Linked DNA regions of Macaca fascicularis. The protein of the gene in region 2 purifies or fractionates together with the protein of the main gene of each other region. This does not show direct contact. Links are inferred from orthologs where the notes say so. Each region holds a gene or a part of one and is shown on either strand. Other genes may lie near its edges.

Region 1 (7,027 bases), on a different chromosome or scaffold from region 2:
CAATAATTAGCTGGGCATGGTGGCGTGCACCTGTCGTCCCAGCTACGTGGGAGGCTGAGGTGGGAAAATCCCTTAAACCTAGTAGACGGAGGTTACGGTGAGCCGAGATACACCATCACACTTCAACCTGAGCAACAGAGCAAGACTGTCTCAAAAAAAAAAAAAACAGGGTAGCAATTTTTCATTTACCCTACCCAGAAAGAAGGATACATTTGAAATACTGTATTTCATTGAATCTTTAATGCCACTGATTATAAGATGTATTATTATTTTCTGTATTACTAAGAAAGAAAAATGCTTCCTATTGAACTGACAGGCCATTGATTATAAAATGCGACCCAGTTTCAAAGATGTTAATGTGAAAAACTATAGCTTACACTTGATGAATTATGGTAATATAACCAACCACCTTAAATTTACATAAGACTTTGTAGAAAGCACTTATACATATGTCATCTGGTTTTATCCTCAAACTGAAACTAATCTGTGAGGTGGACTAAATTATCTCATTTTCAGATGGAAAAACTGAGTTTCACAGAGATTACATATTCTCTCAGCATTGTATACTAGTGAACTAGGGTCTCAGGCCCACATATTCTTACTCTAAGACTTGTGGCATGATTGATGGTGTCACCTCCCCCAAACCCATACAGCTACACAACTATACAATTATTTGGCCTAAATTTTTCTCTCTGTTGCCTAATGTACGTATTTCATATTTAGACTTCGCCCTTTTTCATATGCTGTTCACATGTCTTGATTTTGAAAGTTTTGAGTGCCGTTAACATGGTTAATGTATGTTTTACTATTAAATAATGTGTGACTCTGCTAATATATGAATTGTTTTAATTCAGGGTTGCCTTATCACTATATATAATATCATTGGTGGTTTAATATATGTTTTGAAGTGGTTTATTTGTTTCTATCTGACTAGGTAAAATGTTCAGGAATGGTTATGAATTGAGATCCGTGAAGTGATCCAGAGAAGGCTGATTAAGTGTTTGTCTGTAGCTGTACTGTTCTTGGTGAATCAAGGTCATATCCCCTTCTTTTCCAGGTGGTGGCTAATGCCGTAGCAGCATTATCTGAAATCAGTGAGTCTCACCCAAACAGCAACTTACTTGATCTGAACCCGCAGAACATTAATAAGCTGCTGACAGCCCTAAATGAGTGCACTGAATGGGGCCAGATTTTCATCCTGGACTGCCTGTCTAATTACAACCCTAAAGATGATCGGGAGGCTCAGAGGTCAGTCTGTTTTCCTGGCTACTTTCTGATAGTCTTGCCTGATTCTATAAGTTCTAGAGTCTGGTATTAGAATAAATCAGTTGAGGAAGGTCAGTGGCTTCTAGGGTAGATGTTGCTATCTCCAAGGTATTTTCTCATTGGATTTAGGAATATTTTAGGTGGTGGAATAAACTATGCAAAACTGTTTCTAAGAAATGTATGTTTTTCATACAGTTACTTCTGCTAAAATCTTTCTTATTGTCTTACATCTCCCATGCAACAGTTCTTGGCCATTTGGCCAGCAAAGATTATTGAGTATCTCTCTTTGGAGTGACAGATTTGTCATTCTATTAGATACATAGAAAGTAGCTTCATATTAGTTATCGAGCTGACCTGTATGTATAATTCAGTATGAGAGAGAGTATGTTAAAGTCAGCAAAATATATCCTGCTTTCCATTAGATATGGAAACCATGTCAGTCTGAATTTGAAGATTTTAGAAGGCACACCTAGATTGTTCTGCTCAGCCTGTTACCATGTAATGTTGCAAATTTTCTTTAGTTATTAGAAATTGACTACTAAATTTCATCTACACATACATACATTTTAGTTTACAAAGTTGGAATTATCTCTAATTTTTATTGAGCATTTTGTATATGCAGGCACTGTACTAGGCAAAGTACTTCTGAAGAAATGTTGACTCTTCATTAAAGTTGGTATATTTTAATTATGGTAGATAAGAACTGGTCTGGCTGAAGCTGATTTCCAAGCTACTAGAATGTAAGTGATCTTCACTTATCTGGGAAATAGTCCCTCTAGACTGAACTAAAGCTCACTCTGATAGTTTCTTTCCATCATTGAAAGTACAAATACAGTCTGGAAATTACTGAGAATTACTGTTTTCTTCTGTTGGCCATTGACATCACATTCATTCATTCACTCAGCAAATATTTATTAAGCGCATACTATGTGCTAGGCAGTGTTCCTAGGCCCTGAGGATACAACAGTGAACAAAGTCATGGCCCTCTGGGATCACTTATTTGAAGGTTGGGGGTAGGAATATATAACATGTATAGATAGTATAATATATTATATGTATAGATAGTTTAATATGTAATATGTGAGATGGTGATAAGTACTAACAAGAAAGTAAAGTAGAGAGTGCCGTTATCTAAGAAATCTAAGAAATGCTGGACATTTGGGGGTGGGGGGTTGTATTTTATTTTTAAAAGATGGCCAGGGAAGGCCTCACTGAGAAGGTGGCATTTGTATAAAGACCCAAAGGAAGTCAGGAATAGGAGGAAGAGAGAAACACCGCCTATTTATCTTGTTTCTTTAATACAGTAAGTTAGCTACTCGTGTTGCCCAAGCTATCAAAATTGGATTAATTTCTAAAGAACCCTCAACAGATAATTAAATATCTACCATTTTATGAGTCATGTAAGTGTAGGTGGCAGGGGCTGGGAGAGCAGGGAGATGGGAAAATATAGTAGTGGTGTCCTGCTATTTAAAAAACAAACCCTTTTCAGAGAGTCCCTTATTCTCATTATCCTCAAGACAGGAGATTGGATTGTTTTCCCTACCAACCTGCCTCCTTCTGTATCTTACAATGAAATCTTCAGCCATAACTGGGTTGCTGGCACTTCCTATGAAATAACTCTCAGAATGCTTAATTTGACTTCCTATAGGTTGAGTAGAAATGGGCTGAGAGGCAGGGAGCCCTAACATAATATGGGGAGACAAAGAGGACTATAAAACAAGAAGGTAAATGGTGTGAGCTCAAGTGTCTTGGGTAATGCTAGTTTCTTTCCAGTTTGAACATCCCTTATTGCTGGTTTTCTGAAGTCTTCTGATGTCCCTGCTCTGCCTGTAGTTTGCTGAGAATGAGGCTTCTGCATTGTCAGATCCCAGTTTTACCTAAGCATAGAGCTTTGACTTTTCTAACTAATTCTTGAATTTTTTGATACTTGGGTCATTAGACTCTGACATATTACCTTATAGAATGAATTCAGCAAAGAAATTATAATTCATGATATTAATTTTCATTCTTTGCCCTCAGCATATGTGAGCGGGTAACTCCCCGGCTATCCCATGCCAACTCAGCAGTGGTGCTTTCAGCAGTAAAAGTCCTAATGAAGTTTCTAGAATTGTTACCTAAGGATTCTGACTACTACAATATGCTGCTGAAGAAATTAGCCCCTCCACTTGTCACTTTGCTGTCTGGGGAGCCAGAAGTGCAGTATGTCGCCCTGAGGAACATCAACTTAATTGTCCAGAAAAGGTTGGAAAATAGTGAAGTGTTGATTAAAGTCTTTGTGATTTTGCATTAAGCTTAATAATGTTAATGTTAATTAGGCTAGTGTTAATCTCTTTTTAATATATGGAAATGAAAATGTTATATGGCAGAACAACTTGCTTGCCTAGCACCAGGAGGCTAACAGTTGATATCACAGTATTTCTATAATAAATGCCATGTGTTGCTGCACAGTCCAGTTTGTTTTCTGAAGGGTCTCTTTCTGATACACTGTCTAGTGCCTGGTTGATATGGTTCACGTTGTAGTTTAGAGCCAGATTGTTGTTCTTTTAGCAGTACTTCATGGCAACGTGTGCCCTGATGCTTAAAAAGGATAAAAATAATCTGCCAAGTGGAACTGATAAGAATAGAGGCATATAGAGGAAGTTTATGCATTTTTTTTTTTTTCCTGAGTGGAGCGAGAGGAGAGCAGAGAGGCACAGATTAGGTATTAATACAGTCTCAGAAGGGTGTATCAGTATATGCCTTCACCTTCCTTTCTTCTGTTTCTGTGTACCCTAGGCCTGAAATCTTGAAGCAGGAAATCAAAGTCTTCTTTGTGAAGTACAATGATCCCATCTATGTTAAACTAGAGAAGTTGGACATCATGATTCGTTTGGCATCTCAAGCCAACATTGCTCAGGTCAGACTTTATGCAGACTCAAGTTGATAATGATTTAGCTCTTAAGGTCTGGCCTTTAAAGAAGCTAGGCTGTGAGATTGCTATTTGAGAATCCTTAATGATTAACCACTTCCTCCATTTAACAGGTTCTGGCAGAACTGAAGGAATATGCCACAGAGGTAGATGTTGACTTTGTTCGAAAAGCTGTGCGGGCCATTGGACGGTGTGCCATCAAGGTGGAGGCAAGTGTCTGATGGTAGTTAGGATCATGTATTGGGGATTCTGAGAGTTCTCTTCACTTTTTTCTTTAAAATAATTTTTAAATTTATCAAACTAATAAAGCACACCATTTAAATGTTAAATAATTTTTGATGGAAAGCAGCTGTCTCTGGTCCCTCCCTTCCCTACCTAGACTCTCTTCTCAGAGGGAATAATTTTTTTTTTTTTTTTTTTTTTTTTTGAGACGGAGTCTCGCTGTGTCGCCCAGGCTGGAGTGCAGTGGTGCGATCTCGGCTCACTGCAAGCTCCGCCTCCCGGGTTCACGCCATTCTCCTGCCTCAGCCTCCCAAGTAGCTGGAACTAGAGGCGCCCACCACTACGCCTGGCTAATTTTTTGTATTTTTAGTAGAGACAGGGTTTCACTATATTAGCCAGGATGGTCTTGATCTCCTGACCTCGTGATCCGCCCGTCTCAGCCTCCCAAAGTGCTGGGATTACAGGCCTGAGCCACCATGCCCAGCCTAACCAGTACTTTATAGCAACAAAAGGAGGCAGATGTGTGTCAGAGGATCTTCTATGAAATACCTGCTACTAATTGGCCTTCTTTGTTTTTTTCAATTTAGTACTGCTTTATGTAGTTTCTGTTGATAAATCATTTGGTAGACTGGCTGTTACAGCAAGAAGTTAGCTGATCCTGGATTCTATTCCTGGTTCTGCTAGCTCACTTGATTCAGATGTTTAATATGTTTGTTTCTCTTCATTGGAGAAATGGGAAGGTCTTTTTATTGGATCTTGATACGTTACATCTTTTTTATTACCACTATCACCACACATCACAACTTGTTTTTCTTTTCTTTTTACATTAACATATCTTACTAGCCGTGTACTTAGTATTAATATAGATAATTTTCAGAGAGATTTTGGTAGCCTAAGAGTAAGGTGGTTTTGTTCTCTTCACTAGTGTACATAGCCATCTCTTCTGTGAGACTGCCATTGTCTTATGACCTCTCTGACAAAGCTATAAACAGTAATACAAAAATTATATCTTATTCTGAAGTTAAGAGACTTTCTAGCCCTGGAATTACTAGAAAGTGTTCTCAAAGCATCTAGATTCCTCAAGACTGTTAGTCATGTATTGTGACTAATGGAAAGGTTCTCCATAGTCTTCTGGAAAAGACTTCTGATGACTTTCACTTCTTCCTTTGACTAAGCGTGCTTTGGTGGGAGTATGACAGGATGTGAGGAATGAGCTTTCTCAGGACACTTAAGGTCACCCTTCAGGAATCCTGTCTTATCTAGTGCTCTCATCTCAGATTACCCGGATTTACCTTAGAACTTTTCCTATAACTGTTTCAGCCATGAAGATTTTCAGTTTGGTTTCAGTTTGACAGAGTTGCCAAGCCAAACAGTTAATTGGGCCAGGAGAGGCCATGATTGCCTGTTTGCACTGACTCATCCATGGGACAAGAATCAGCAGCATAAGAATTGTAATGAACTTTCTGTATAGCTTTGGGAAGCAACAAGCTGTTGAGCAAATAAATAGCACTGAAAAAGCAATCCTATAGTACTATTTTTTGTTCAGTAACTTTTGCCTATTTCTTTCAGGGGTAAACATACTCCTGGTCCTTTTCAGTTTTAAAAAGGGTAGAGGTAAAGGCATTAGGTTAAGAGCAGGAGTTCTTCACTTCCTAGTCTTCTGTTTTTTTTGTGTGTTTACTATTTCTAATTTTTATATATTAGAATAAAATACTGGTTTGTGTGTCATTCTTAAAGACAAAAAATATATTTTTCCTATTAGGAAAACCATATTTGTTTACTATATAAAATTATAGAACAAGTTAAACAAAAAATAGAGTACCCCACCTCCCACGTCTTCTGTTTCACCTTCTCAGATATGCAGTGGACGTGATCTGGTAGACGTCATTTTATATCCTTGTTTATATAGTGTTCTATACAAAGATGTATTTTTTAATAAAAATGAAATCATTCCACAAATGCTATTTATTTACTTTGTTTTATACTCTACTTTTTTTTTTTTTTGGCATGCTCTATCATGGACATTGATCCAAGTTATAAAGAAAAATTTATGTCATCTTTAGTTTCTATAGACATAATGTGTGATTACTTGATAACTTACTGAATTTGTAACTTTATCCGTTATTATAGGACCTTAAAGTTGTTTCTACTCTTTTTCCAAATGTTGGTATAAGGAGTATCCTTGCAGCTAAATCTTTGAACTCTAGTTGAAGTGAACGTTTTTTCATAACAGTTATGCTTATTAGCCATTTGGGACTTGCTCACTCATGTCCTGTGCACCTTTTTCCGATATGTTATATTTTCAACATTGTTGTTTTAAAGTCTTTTGTAATTGGGATGTTAACCCTTCTTTTAGTTAGCATTTGTTTTCTCAGTTTGTTGTCCTTTAGATTTCTTTTGCTCTCTTGATTCACAGAAGTTTAGATTTTTGTATCAACTTTTCTCAGTCAGTTTTTTTCCTCAGTGGCACACTTAGAAAATTGTGCTTCACCTAAAGTTATATAAAATTCACCTTTTTTTTTTTTTTTTTTTTTTTACTTCTATGGCAGTGATTTTGTCTTATATGTTTTTTGGGGGGTGGATGGGGAAATGGAGTCTTGACTTGTCGCCCAAGCTGGAGTGCAGTGGCGC
Region 2 (6,779 bases):
TTGACTCTCATTTACTGCCTCTTCTTAAACTAGCAAGCCTCTTGTTACTAAGCCAGTTCTTTTCAGTTTTTGGTTTAAACTCAGCTGATTACTGTAGTTCCTTCTTAAAACTTCCACATTACAAAAGGAAGGCACTTACGCACATGCTTTCAGAGATTGAAGATTTATCATTTAGAACACATTCAAAGGCAGCAGGAAGTCTATTTTTACAACTCATTTAGTAATCAAGTTACAAATATCCCCATTTTCCCTGAGACTAATGAGGATCTAAACTCACCCCAAGGGCTTAGAAATGTGTGGTTTCTCTTTAGCCATCTTCCCTCCCAATTCCAATCTCTGATCAGTGAACTCCATTTACTATTTAAAATATCTCATCATTTACCCTCCTTATGAAGTTTTCTTGTACTGGTGTACAAACACAATCCTTTAAAATGTAGATAAACGAGTATGGAGGCAGTAGAAAATCTCAATGGCGGGAACATTTCTTTCACAATTCTCAATTATTACATATAATCAGCTGAAGAAACTTAATAGGAAGAATTGCTCTGATGTACCCAAGGGGGAAGGTATGCCACTTTAAAGAGAACAGCTATTTTAAATCTTTACTAAATTGAATCTCCTCCTGAGGCTTCTCAATGTCCTTCCCTATATTTCATCAGGGCTCCACTGCCCATAGTTACTTCGATTAGTCACTAAGAGCAAATGGTTAAGTTATGGGATAGCCAGAAGAGAGAATATTACTGCTACCATTAAATTACATTGTAGAAGTATACTGACAAGGAAAAGATGTTCACAGTGTATTATAAACACCCCCAATCCCCATTATTTATAAAAAGTTTTAGAATGAGAAAAGTAGAAATTTAAGGGATAGAAGGGGCAGGTAGCAGAATGAGAACCAGTGTCTGGTTTTGGGCTACCAGATTCACTGAACAATCTGTAAAAACACATTTAATACCCCTATTTTATACCTGTTTTTTTAAACCTAATTATTCTAGCCTCCATTCTTGCTAAAAGTCTACTTTGCAATGGGATTCTTTTGATAAAGTCTTTTATAGGAAGAATTATAGAACACTACAATAACTTGCGCAGCTAGCCAAACCTAATGTTTTCAGTTTAGCATCCACCTTTCCAGTTGTGAAAATGGAATAATGTAAAGGTCTCCCAATAGGTTTGCCTAATTCTTGGTTATTCACATTGCAGATTATCCAGTGTGGTATGGCTATTTCCTGTAACACAGGCCCACAGATTTCCTGAAGTCTCTCTTCCCCAATACTTCAGTAAGCAAGAAAATTAACACAGGCACACAGGGAAAGGCAGATCCCGACTTAGAACCAGAGTAAGTGCTTATCAGTTTTGCTAACATTACTTCCCGACAAGTTTTGGCTTACTCTGGGACAAGGAAAGCTTCTAAAATAGAGATTATTTTCAAGGCCCCCTGAAAGATTTTGACCTAGCATTAGGTAAAAGTTAATTCATTTCACAAGTTATCCAATCTAAACAGGAATTGTACAAATACTGTAACACAACCGAGTAATTAGACTAATACTTCCGGGGACTAATCCTAAAGTTGACAAAGTAACTCTGCCCAACAATTCTAGAACGATGATCTTGCCCATCATTGAATCTATGTTTGCAAGTCTACCACAGCCTAAGAATTTGTCCAAAACCCACAGTGAAGTCTTGGAATGGATATGTGATACGTCTAAGTATTAAGAATAAATAGAGGCAAGGCACAGTGGCTCGCGCCTGTAGTCCCAGCACTTTGGGAGGTCAAGGTGGGCAGATCACTTAGGGTCAGGAATTTGAGACCAGCCTGGCCAACATGGTGAAACCCCATCTCTACTAAAAATACAAAAATTATTAGCTGGGCGTGGTGGTGTGTGCCTGTAATCCCAGCTACTCGGGAGGCTGATTTGAACCCGAGGGGCAGAGGTTGCAGTGAGTCGAGATTGAGCTACTGCACTCCAGGCTGGGTGACAGAACGAGACTCCATCTCAAAAAAAAAAAAAAAAAAAAAAAAAAAGAATAGAATTTTAGTTTCTTTAAAATTATCTTAGAAATGCCTTTATTCTTGCTTTTTAAAACAATGTCAGCCGGGCGCGGTGGCTCACGCCTGTAATCCCAGCACTTTGGGAGGCCGAGACGGGCGGATCACAAGGTCAGGAGATCGAGACCATCCTGGCTAACACAGTGAAACCCCGTCTCTACTAAAATACAAAAAAAATTAGCCGGGCATGGTGGCGGGCGCCTGTAGTCCCAGCTACTCAGGAGGCTAAGGCAGGAGAATGGCGTGAATCCGGGAGACGGAGCTTGCAGTGAGCTGAGATCGCGCCACTGCACTCCAGCCTGGGCAACAGAGCGAGACTCTGTCTCAAAAAAAAAAAAAAAAAAAAAAAGTCAATGATTTACTTCAATCTGTATCAAATCAATTTCATAAATGGAGAAATATTTCTGTCAACTTTTCAGAAGGTAGTTTTTCTTGAAAGGTAAACTGGTGCTTTTGTATTAGAAAAGAACTTGTTTTACAGATTTGGTGATAAGAAGACAAAAATGCATAAACAAAGGATGCAAACCAAGTAGAATTTAAGTTGAATTCAGGATTTCAAGTAGCGATGTATAAAAGAAAGTCACTTACTATTCACAATTAGATCACTAGTGGTTTGTGGTCAACTACACAAATATGCAATTAAATCTACAACCAGCCAAATTTCCAATTTACTGTAATGTAACACTCATTTAAAGAAAAAACTAAACTTGGACAGGAACACAAGCGACACACTCAAAACCAAGAGCACACATACACAAAATAACTACAAGAGTGAGCAGAGATAGCTGGTTGGGGAACAGGGAGTCTATAAAAGAAAATTTTCAATTCTGTTAACTAATCTTCTAGTATAAACTGATGATTATATGAAACACACCAAGGAGAATACATTCAAGTTAATGGAAACAAGTCTTTATTAAGTAACTTTTAATATCAGAAAAATAAAACTCTTATAATTCTCTTTACAGCAAATATATAATATCAGTGCTTTGGCCATCTTAAGTTAAAGGCCCTTTATCATAAAATATATGGTTTTAAATTTTACTCAAATTGAATTTATAATCCCTATGACTTCCCTACATATACATAACAAAAGAATGTAGTAAAATTAGCAAATACTAAACTATATTGATAATTTATCATTCTTAGTTTGTGGTTTTTAGAAACAGTACACGCACCTAATATATGTCGATTCCTTGGCTTATTAGTTGCAGTGTACAATGCAACAAAATACAAAATACATGCTTGGTGAACATTCGTTCATATCTACAAGACGGCAGCTAGAGATTAGGTTTCAATACTGACATTTACTATCCTACAAGCAATTAGCATTACATCATAATATGCCATCAAGGCAACTTTTTTTATACTGAAAAAATCAAAATAAAAACCGTTATTTGTAAACTTTTATAAGAAATGTAACTCTTCAAGTGGAAATAAAAAATAAAATTTGTCTATTTACTATTGAATACACATAGGATTTCAATTTTCATTATACCGAGAAAAAAGCTCTTTTGTGTTGGGAAAATAATGCTTCAAAAAATAATTAGTAGAAAAACCCACCAGTATAATGTTTTGTCCTTTCAATGCCAGCACAGATTTGGGAACATACTGAGGATGAAGTTATAGACATCCACAGGTGAAATGTACGAGTGTATTTTAAATAAATCTTTCCTTGTGATTGGAAATAGTTTTTGAAATGAAGTAAACTCATTGGAGGTTGTCACAGCTGCTTTTATGAATTATGCCAAGGGCATCATTATCCCTTTCCCCTTCCTCCCTCCCCTAAATTACTAAAAAATAAAAATATATTTATAATGTGCAAGACAAATATGGATTGAACATAAAATGTTTCACATTTTGATCTATAGTCTAAAAACTAACAGCTCGAGCACACTAATGAATGGAATGTTCGCATCCTCAATTGTTAGCCAATATAGGTGCCATCCCAAAGCCCTTCCTGATATGGGAAAACCAAGGTGGCCATTTCCACATTCACCAAGAGAGGCAATGGGCAGGAATTCAGCATTCCTGATCCACTGATCATACCAGCCTTGAGAACTCTGGGCGAGATGAAAGTCGATGTAGCAGTTTTTGTCCCAAATTATAACCAGTGATCTAGTAAACTGCCATCAGCCCTATTATTACCAATAAGTAATCACAATGCATTAAAAAGTTACTTGCAATCCTGCAGAATTAGGCATAAGTTGTTGTAAAATAAAAAACAAACAAACCTGTTTTGTCAAAACTGGCAGTGTAAAGAAGGCAGCACTGGAAGTGTATGAATCGTCTGTAATGCCAAGTACCCTCCATAAACTCTTAAAGTGGTTAGGCTTTGGGACCCACTGTTTTGAAATCTTAGACGTATACACTTTTCTCATAGGCTCACACAACCTATGATTATCTTCACTCAGCCAAGTTGAACTTCAGCTTTAGCAATTCTTATATAAACTATGTCTCTGGGTCTACAGGATAGTATTAATAATTCAAACCAAACTAATAGACAAGAGACCACTTAGGTTTAGTGTTACCATAGCAGCCTTTTATAAGTTTACTAACAACTTTAGCCTAATCCCAATAAAGCCTGATAACAGTCATAAGAAATCATTAGGAAGTTTACTGGGGGGTACCATTATACCCATGCCTTTACGAGTCCATATAGAGATATAGTATTTATGTATATATATATAGTTAAGAGTGAATTTGGATTGCCTGAGTAACAGCTGTCTGGCAAACTGGACATGATGGCGTTCTCTTTTCACAGATCTTGTTGGCACATTCCATGCAGAAGAGGTTGTGGCCACATGGAACTAGGGCAGCAATAACCTCATTCTCAAAGCAAATCACACAGTCGTGCTTTCGTCTTGATTCTGGAGGTGAGCTAGAGGTGGAACCACCATTGGAAGAGGAGTAACTATTGGTACCATTAGAAAAAGCAGGGATGTATATTGGAAGGCCAACATGGTTGCCTGTACTAGGTGGGTCGCTCCTAACCCTCCGAGCAAGTGGGTGTTCTATGCTCTCAGGAAATGTAGGAGACAGACGAGGAGTAGATGGCTGACTTCCTCTGCGCTGAGTCTTCATGTTACCAGAAGGATCACTCCCAAAGCCAGAGAGTGGGTTAACTGGTTCAAATGGAGTCCAGATAGTTTGAGCAGATGTTGGTAAAGAGTCAAAGGCAGGAGAGTCAACTGCAAGGTCTTCTGAGCCTACAGATGGTAGTGTATCTCCAAACCAGAAGTTTCCTGTACTAAATGGGCTTGTTGGACTAAAGTCAGCCAGCCTGTTGCTTCCAAAGTAGGAATCTGTGGAGCCACTTCCTAGAGAACTGGAACTATCATTTCGATAATTGGATATCATTCTCGCGCGGCTAGGAGGAACAGGATTGGAGGAGAGCCACGCAGAGCCAAGAGTGCCACCTTCAAAGCTTACATCGGTACCATTGTAATGGAAATCATTCTCTTCATTAAGCTCTATATAGTTTCCTGTACGCATGGCAATATGCATTTCTATTTCTTCCCGTGCTCGGTCGACATTTTCAGGCATCCCTGTCACTTCAAAGACAGGTTCCTTATCTCTGCTCGGAGTTACTATGTAAGTGTGGGTCTGCTGCTGAATTCTTTTAATAGTTGCTCCTTTGGGTCCAACCACTAATCCTACCACACGATAAGGGACCCTGACTTGGACGGTGGTTTGACCGGGCAGATTAGGACTACATGACAATCCTCCCAGGGCAGGCCCATTTTTGTTTCGAGATGCACGAATCATGGAGAAGTGCTCTGCAGCTGAGAGGATCTCTCTTTTGGCCATGGCAACATCTTCTTTCCTTCCAGTGACAACAAAAATGGGCTCTTCACCACGAACAGGAGTCTTGATATACGTGTTTGTCTTGGCTCTCAGTGCTTTAATTTTACAACCTGTTAGAAAGAAAACATTTCATAAGAATCAACATGTACTTCAATGATATATATAAAGACAAATCACAGAATGCACCTTTTAAGCTAAGTATCTGGTTATGGGTAAGTTTTAGAGTTTTTCACAAAGCTAGGAAGTGGCAGAGCCAGAAGTAAACCTAGTTTGACCTAAAATCTATGGTCTTTTTGCTAGTCCAAGAACCTCTATTTTCACAATTATCTTACAGAAGTTCTTAAACTGACTTCTACCTAATTATCTTATCACTTTAACTTAACATTACTCTTTCCTCTGTAAAACTCAATTGATGACAAAAACACTGTGCTCATGGCTAGTAGGTCATCTCACTTCTGCTCCCACCAGTTAAATTCTAGGCCTGCTATGATTCAGTTTTGTTTATTCCCATGTTGTTTGTGCTAGGTGTACTCATGCTAGTAACTGAATTATCTGAATTATTGCATAAACTAATGAAACATCAATGCAAAAAAGACGAGTATCTTAAAGAGCATCTTAAAGAAAAAAGCTGCTATTGAATTATGAATAGGTGAGACAGCTATAAAGGGCTGGGATAAAAAAAAGTAACATAGAATGATTTTGTAATCGTTGTAAAGTCCTGCTCCATTTAAAAGAAACAGATACTGCAGATTGTATGGAATGTGGGTGCTGGGTATGGTTTTACTCAAGGACTGCTCTGATTGACAGACACAATTTGAAACAAAAGGCCTTGACAAATACTAAGTATATTTAAGTTAAAATAAAACATCTAAGACACATATGTATAACTTTACATAATGCCCCACTTTAACCACCTTTTTTTTTTTTT
Region 3 (7,027 bases), on a different chromosome or scaffold from region 2:
TACTAAAAAAAATACAAAAAATTAGCAGGGTGAGGTGGCGGGCGCCTGTAGTCCCAGCTACTCGGGAGGCTGAGGCAGGAGAATGGCGTGAACCCGGGAGGCGGAGCTTGCAGTGAGCTGAGATCCGGCCACTGCACTCCAGCCTGGGTGACAGCGCGAGACTCCGTCTCAAAAAAAAAAAAGATGATCCATTTCCTAAAACTGTACTCGACAACCAAGAATAAGGGATATCGTTAGTTCTGTATGTAGACTGACAGGTAGTCTACTTTCATTAATCAACTCTTGGTTATCAGTGATAATGAGCTACAGAACCACTACTAACTATAAACGATTTAATTTTGTAATCCAGGACCTAGTCATGAGCTGGCATCAAATGTGTTGTTTTGAGATGGGAGTTTTGCTCTTGTTGCCCAGGCTGGAGTGCAATGGAGCGATCTTGGCTCACCGCAACCTCTGCCTCCCGGGTTCAAGTGATTCTCCTGCCTCAGCCTCCTGAGTAGCTGGGATTACAGGTGCCCACCACCACACCTGGCTAATTTTTGTATGTTTAGTAGAGACGGGGTTTCTCCATGTTGGTCAGGCTGATCTCGAACTCCCGACTTCAGGTGATCCGTCCACTTCGGCCTCCCAAAGTGCTGGGATTACAGGCATGAGCTACTGTGCTTGGCAATGTTTTTATTTAAAAAAAAAATAATAATGAAAATGGCCAGGCACGGTGGCTCACAGGGAGACTCCCCATCACAAAACAAACCAAAACAAACCAAAAAATGAGCCGGGCGCGCTGGCTCACACCTGTAATCCCAGCGCTTTGGGAGGCCGAGATGGGTAGATCACGAGGTCAGGAGTTTGAGACCAGCCTGGCCAACATAACATAGTAAAACCCTGTCTCTATTAAAAATACAAAAAATTAGCTAGGCGTGGTGGCGGACACCTGCAGTCCCAGCTACTAGGGAGGATGAGGCAGAAGAATCACTTGAACCTGGGAGGCAGAGGATGCAGTGAGCTGAGACAGCACCACTGCACTCTGGCCTAGGCAACAAAAGCAAAATTCCGTCTCAAAAATAAATAAATAAATAAAAATAAACAAATAAATAATAAAATACACATACACACACACACACATTCAAGTCAAGTCACCTTTATTACTTTTTATTACTTTTACTCTCAAACACCCATCCCCAGGGGTGAGAGGGTATCATTTCCTCAAGTCAATCCCGCTTCCCAAACTCTCCACGTGCTTTCCCTCCATCAACAGGCAGAGAGATGCTAGTATCTGAGCTGGGGATGACTGTTAGGAGTCCACAGCTGTTTGGCCATTCTTCTTCATAGTTGTTAAAACAATTTTTTTCCCTTAAGAGATGGCACCTCATTCAGTCATCCAAGTTAGAATGCAGTGGCGCAATCAAGGCTCACTACAGCCTCAAGATCCCCCAACCTCACTGGAGTTTTTTTTTTTTTTTTTTGAGATAAAGTCTTGCTCTATGAAGCCTCGCTCTGTCTCCCAGGCCAGAGTGCAGTGGCGTGATCTCAGCTCACCGCAACCTCCACCTCCTGTGTTCAAGCAATGCTCCTGCCTCAGCCTCCCAAGTAGCTGGGGTTACAGGCACATAGCACTGCGCCCGGCCTTTTTTTTCTTTTCTTTTTTTTAAAGACAGGGTCTTACTATGTTGCCCAGGCTGGTCTTGAACTCCTAGGCTCAGGCATCATCCCACCTTGGCCTCCCAAGTCCTGGGATTACAGACATGAGCCACCGCAACCAGAGTGGGATAGATTTTCAAGCTGGAAGCCACTTGTTCAGAGTTGGTAAATTGTTTCTGAGTTCCAAGGACTGGGAGTAGCAGCCTGAAATGCTGCGCTGGGAAGTGGTCCGTGGCTCCATCTGGCACTATTGCAAGCGTGTAAGTAAGTCCTATGTATATGAGTATCTCATGCCAATCCCGATCTAGTCAAATCCTAAACATTTCCTAGAGCTAGGAAGCATTAAAAGCTGAGTCTCACTTTAGTACCATAACCCAAAAGTCACAAATCTGATTTGATCCTTTCAGAGAAAAGACACATACGTGCCCACTTTCAGAAGCGTTTTCAAAAAGTGTAACACTTCCAAAGACAATACAGCAGGTCGATTTCCCCAACAGACACTACAGATAGCCTCAAGCAACGCGACATATGTTTCAGTCTAAGAAACTTTTTTTTTTTTTTTTTTTTTGAGATGGAGTCTCCCCTCTGTCACCCAGGCTGGAGTGCAATGGCACGATCTCAGTTAATTGCAACCTCCGCCTCCTGGGTTTAAGCAATTCTCCAGCCTCAGCCTCCTGAGTAGCTGGGACTGACTACAGGCGCCCGCCAACACACCTGTTCTATTTTTAGTAGAGACAGGGGTTTCACTGTGTTGGCCAGGATGATCTCGATCTCCTGACCTCGTGATCCGCCGGTCTCGGCCTCCCAAAGTGCTGGGATTCCAGGCCTGAGCCTCCGCGCCCAGCCCAGCTTAAGAAACATGCTTAAAGGAATCGCAGCTAAAACTGACAACAGACTTTGTTTCCAACCTCCTACCAGCACCAGCACCACCAAATGTAAAACTATCTTGTAATGTAATGCTCATATCACACTAATTTGTCTTCTTCTCCACCCCTGTTCAACAATCTACCATGGATAATAATGATTCTCTAGAGAGAGAGAATTAAACTTCCTTTAAAATCAACAAACGTTAACAAATTTGGGCTTCTGTATTTAAAGTAAACATTCACACACACTCACCATCACAATTAAGTTTAGTAAAATACTCTAGCTAAATTGTTTGCAATGAAAACCTCTTAAAAGTAACAACAGCCGGGCACAGTGGCTCACGCCTGTAATCCCAGCACTTTGAGAGGCTGAAGCGGGCGGAACACCTGTGGTCAGGAGTTCAAGACCAGCCTGACCAACATGACGAAATCCCGTCTCTACTAAAAATACAAAAATTAGGTGGACATGATAGCGGGTGCCTGTAACCCCAGTTACTCCGGAAGGCTGAGGCAGGAGAATCGCTTGAACCTGGGAGGCAGAGCTTGCAGTGAGCCGAGATTATGCTACTGCACTCCAGCCGGGGTGTTGCAGCGAGACTCCATCTCAAAAAAAAAAAAAAAAAAAAAGAAAAGAAAAAAAAAAGACCCAAGGGCCAACATACAATTTCTCTGCTGAACCCCAGAGGTAAATGGGAAATTAGTTCCCTTTTAGATAAAAAATTTCAACAAAGAGAAAAACTTCATAAATACCTATTGATACCATCTGGATTTAAATACAGTTAACTTCAGCCCCCTAAAATTGAATCTGGACGAAGATAAAATAAACTACTTGCTTTCCACTTTTCCTTTCCTCAACCTTTGAAACAGTGTAAAGGCAGACTTAAACTAAGTTCCCCAAAATGGAACTCAGTACTTTAGCACCATTTCCTATAAAGGCAATAATTAAAATTTCATAGAGAGCAGGCAGTGAGTCTAAATTGTAGCTTGATGTAAAGATATGCCAAGGAATGTCTACAGAGAGTAAAAACAAATCCTGCAACTGAAAGAGGTGCCTCTTTTACTTCCTAGTGTTTGCTTACCATCACCCTGCATGTCTGAAGTCCATAGTGTCAGATTATCACGTAACAACTGCATGATAAGTGTAGAGTCCTTATAGCTTTCTTCACTCAGCGTATCCAGTTCTGCAATTGCATCATCGAAAGCTGCTTTTGCCAACCTAAAGGTATTTAAATAAATGTATTATAAAAATTAAATCCAAAATCAGAATTAGAAAAGACATGCTAGACATCAATCTCTTCTTCAGTTATTCCAGTGTGTAATAGTGACAATGATACAAAGAAAAAGCAAATACAATAAAAATTAACTTAAAGGTATGTGGAGCACTACTATTTTTTCTTTTTTTGAGATGGAGTCTTGCTCTGTCGCCCAGGCTGGAGTGCAGTGGCGCGATCTGCAGAGGCGCGGCCTCCCAAAGTGCTGGGATTACAGGAGTGAGCCGCCGTGCCCGGCCAATTTTTTTTTTTTTTTTTTTTTTTTTTTTTTTTTTTTTTTTTTTTTTTGAGACGGAGTCTCGCTCTGTCACCCAGGCTGGAGTGCAGTGGCCGGATCTCAGCTCACTGCAAGCTCCGCCTCCCGGGTTCACGCCATTCTCCTGCCTCAGCCTCCCGAGTAGCTGGGACTACAGGCGCCCGCCGCCTCGCCCGGCTAGTTTTTTGTATTTTTTAGTAGAGACGGGGTTTCACTGTGTTAGCCAGGATGGTCTCGATCTCCTGACCTCGTGATCCGCCGGTCTCGGCCTCCCAAAGTGCTGGGATTACAGGCTTGAGCCACCGCGCCCGGCCCCAAGTTTTTTTTTTTTAAGAGATTCGTTATGTTGCCCAGGCTGGACCTGAACTCCTGCGTTCAAGCAATCTTCCCACCTTAGCCTCTTGAGTGGCTGGGACCAATGGTACAACCCCCCCCCCCCAGATATTTAACAAAGTATTAATGCAAAAAGAAAATATTGGACAATACCTCAAAGTTTAATAAAATTTAATTTCACATTAATGGAGGCAGGGAAGCAAAGAAAATAAAAGGCAACACAGAAGCCACGGAAATGTGGTCATGTAAGCCTTTTACAGTTTTTTTTTTTTTTTTTTTTTTTTTTGAGACGGAGTCTCGCTCTGTCGCCCAGGCTGGAGTGCAGTGGCGCGATCTCGGCTCACTGCAAGCTCCGCCTCCTGGGTTTACGCCATTCTCCTGCCTCAGCCTCCCGAGTAGCTGGGACTACAGGCGCCCGCCACCGCGCCCGGCTAATTTTTTGTATTTTTAGTAGAGACGGGGTTTCACCGTGGTCTCGATCTCCTGACCTTGTGATCCGCCCGCCTCGGCCTCCCAAAGTGCTGGGATTACAGGCGTGAGCCACCGCGCCCGGCCTGCCTTTTACAGTTTTAAAAGAAAATCCACACCTACTGAATACTGTGTACTATGCCCAAGAAATGATACCAGATACCAATAGAAAAAAAAAAGAGAGACATAATCTAAGTCCACAATCACCTTAAAACTTTAGAAATGGAGGATGGACAAATGTGTAACTATTTTAAAAGAAGGAGGAGGCTGGGTGTGGTGGCTCACGCCTGTAATCAGCACACTTTGGGTGGCCAATGCGCGTGGGCAGATCACTTGAGGCCAGGAGTTCAAGACCAGCCGGGCCACCATGGCAAAACCTATTAAAAACACAAAAAATTAGCCAAGTATGGTGGTGTATGTCTACAGTCCCAGCTACTCAGGAGGCTGAGGCAGGAGAATTGCTTGAACCCGGGAGGCGGAGGTTGCAGTGAGCTGAAATTGTGCCACTGCACTCCAGCCTGGACAAAAAGAACCAAAAAAAAAAAAAAAAGAAGACGACGAAGACTCAAGTGCTACTCTAAATAAAGTATCTCAGGGACCCAGGAGGAGCAATTAATGGGAAGGTCAAATTTGAGCTAACCTTAATGGATCAGGAGAAAGCAAAAAGAACACACTTCAAGTTTAAGCAAAAGCATGAGCAAAGGCATGGAAGTGACTTAAAACTGGAGCTACACGTGGGACAGCTAGACTGGAGTCTGACAAGGAAAGGTGCAACCACCAGTATCAGTTAAACAGCCAAAGCTTCTTCAGTTATGACCCCTATCCTGGACAAACTCAACTAGCCATTTAGAATATTTTTAGATTGGCTGAGTGCAGTGGCTCACGCCTGTAATCCCAGCACTCTGGGAGGCTGAGGTGGGTGGATCACCTGAGGTCAGGAGTTCGAGACCAGCTTGACCAATATGGTGAAATCCCGTCTCTACTAAAAATGCAAAAAAAAAAAATCAGTCGAGCACAGTGAAGCATGCCTGTAATAGTCAACGTTAAAGTTCTAATGTATCAGTTAATCTACTTTCCTCAATCTCTGAAAGGCTTTCACTTAAAAAATCTACTTGGCTTAAGCAGTGGTCCTCGACAAACCAAAAAAAAAAACACACAAAAAGCAGAAGAGGCCGGGCATGGTGGCTCACGTCTGTAATCCCAGCACTTTGGGAGGTCAAGGCAGGCAGATCACGAGATCAGGAGATCAAGACCATCCAGGCTAACACGGTGAAACCCCGTCTCTACTGAAAATATTAAAAAATTAGCCAGGCTTGGTGGCAGGTGCCTGTAGTTCCAGCCACTCGGGAGGCTGAGGCAGGAGAATGGCGTGAACCCAGGAGGCGGAGCTTGCAGTGAGCCGAGATCGCGCCACTGCACTCCAGCCTGGACAACAGAGCAAGACTTCATCGGAAAAAAAAAGCAAAAAACAACCATTTTGCTACTGCAATATTTACTGTAAAAATTTAAAAGAGGCCGGGTGCAGTGGCTCACGCCTGTAATCTCAGTACTTGGGGAGGCTGAGGTGACCGGATCACTTAAGGTGAGGTCAAGACTAGCCTGGCCAACATGGTGAAACCCCGTCTCTACATAAAAATACAAAAATCAGCCGGGTATGGTGGTGGGCATCTATAATCCCAGATACTTGGGAGGCTGAGGCAGGAGAATCGCTTGAAACCGGGAGGCAGAGATTGCAGTGAGCCAAGATTGTGCCACTGCACTCCAGCCTGGGCAACAGTGACAGGCTCTGCTTCAAAAAAAACAAAAAAAACAACAACAAAAAAACAAAACAAACAAAAAACAAAGGAAAAGAAAAGGCCAGGCATGGTGGCATCCTCCTCTAGTGACAGCTACTTGGGAGGCTCATACGCGGATCAGCTGAGCTCAGGAAGCCATGGCTGCAGTGAGCTATGAGTGCACAACTGCAGAGACGGAACAAGATCCTGTCTGGGGAAAAAAAAAAAGGTACACACAGAATTTTCAGTCCCAATTCCACCTCAAGGTGAAGTTAAATACAAGGACTGAAGCAAATACTTAATGCATCCATGTTCACAGCAGCACTGTACTCACCACAGAAAAAGGGTGGAAAGATACCCACTGACCACTCAAAGTTTAATGACTAAACAATGTGTCAAAACACGTAAAATGAATTGTCT

The links. Proteins that work in one complex are often made in the same cells at the same time.
Region 1: the proteins of MEX3C (region 2) and AP2B1 purify together in Homo sapiens (affinity purification with mass spectrometry; 4 studies listed by BioGRID and IntAct, with this or other methods). This does not show direct contact. The link is inferred for Macaca fascicularis from reciprocal best matches to the Homo sapiens genes MEX3C and AP2B1.
Region 3: the proteins of MEX3C (region 2) and YWHAE purify together in Homo sapiens (affinity purification with mass spectrometry; 3 studies listed by BioGRID and IntAct, with this or other methods). This does not show direct contact. The link is inferred for Macaca fascicularis from reciprocal best matches to the Homo sapiens genes MEX3C and YWHAE.

The regions. Positions count from the first base shown.
Region 1 is NC_088390.1:41,926,601-41,933,627, forward strand, and holds part of AP2B1 (AP-2 complex subunit beta), read left to right. Parts: intron 1-1,057; coding exon 1,058-1,248; intron 1,249-3,285; coding exon 3,286-3,507; intron 3,508-4,041; coding exon 4,042-4,162; intron 4,163-4,287; coding exon 4,288-4,383; intron 4,384-7,027. UniProt on the Homo sapiens protein: Component of the adaptor protein complex 2 (AP-2). Adaptor protein complexes function in protein transport via transport vesicles in different membrane traffic pathways.
Region 2 is NC_088392.1:38,552,210-38,558,988, reverse strand, and holds the end of MEX3C (RNA-binding E3 ubiquitin-protein ligase MEX3C), read right to left. Parts: intron 5,962-6,779; coding exon 4,736-5,961; 3' UTR 2,935-4,735; downstream 1-2,934. UniProt on the Homo sapiens protein: E3 ubiquitin ligase responsible for the post-transcriptional regulation of common HLA-A allotypes. Binds to the 3' UTR of HLA-A2 mRNA, and regulates its levels by promoting mRNA decay.
Region 3 is NC_088390.1:1,454,532-1,461,558, forward strand, and holds part of YWHAE (14-3-3 protein epsilon), read right to left. Parts: intron 3,721-7,027; coding exon 3,584-3,720; intron 1-3,583. UniProt on the Homo sapiens protein: Adapter protein implicated in the regulation of a large spectrum of both general and specialized signaling pathways. Binds to a large number of partners, usually by recognition of a phosphoserine or phosphothreonine motif.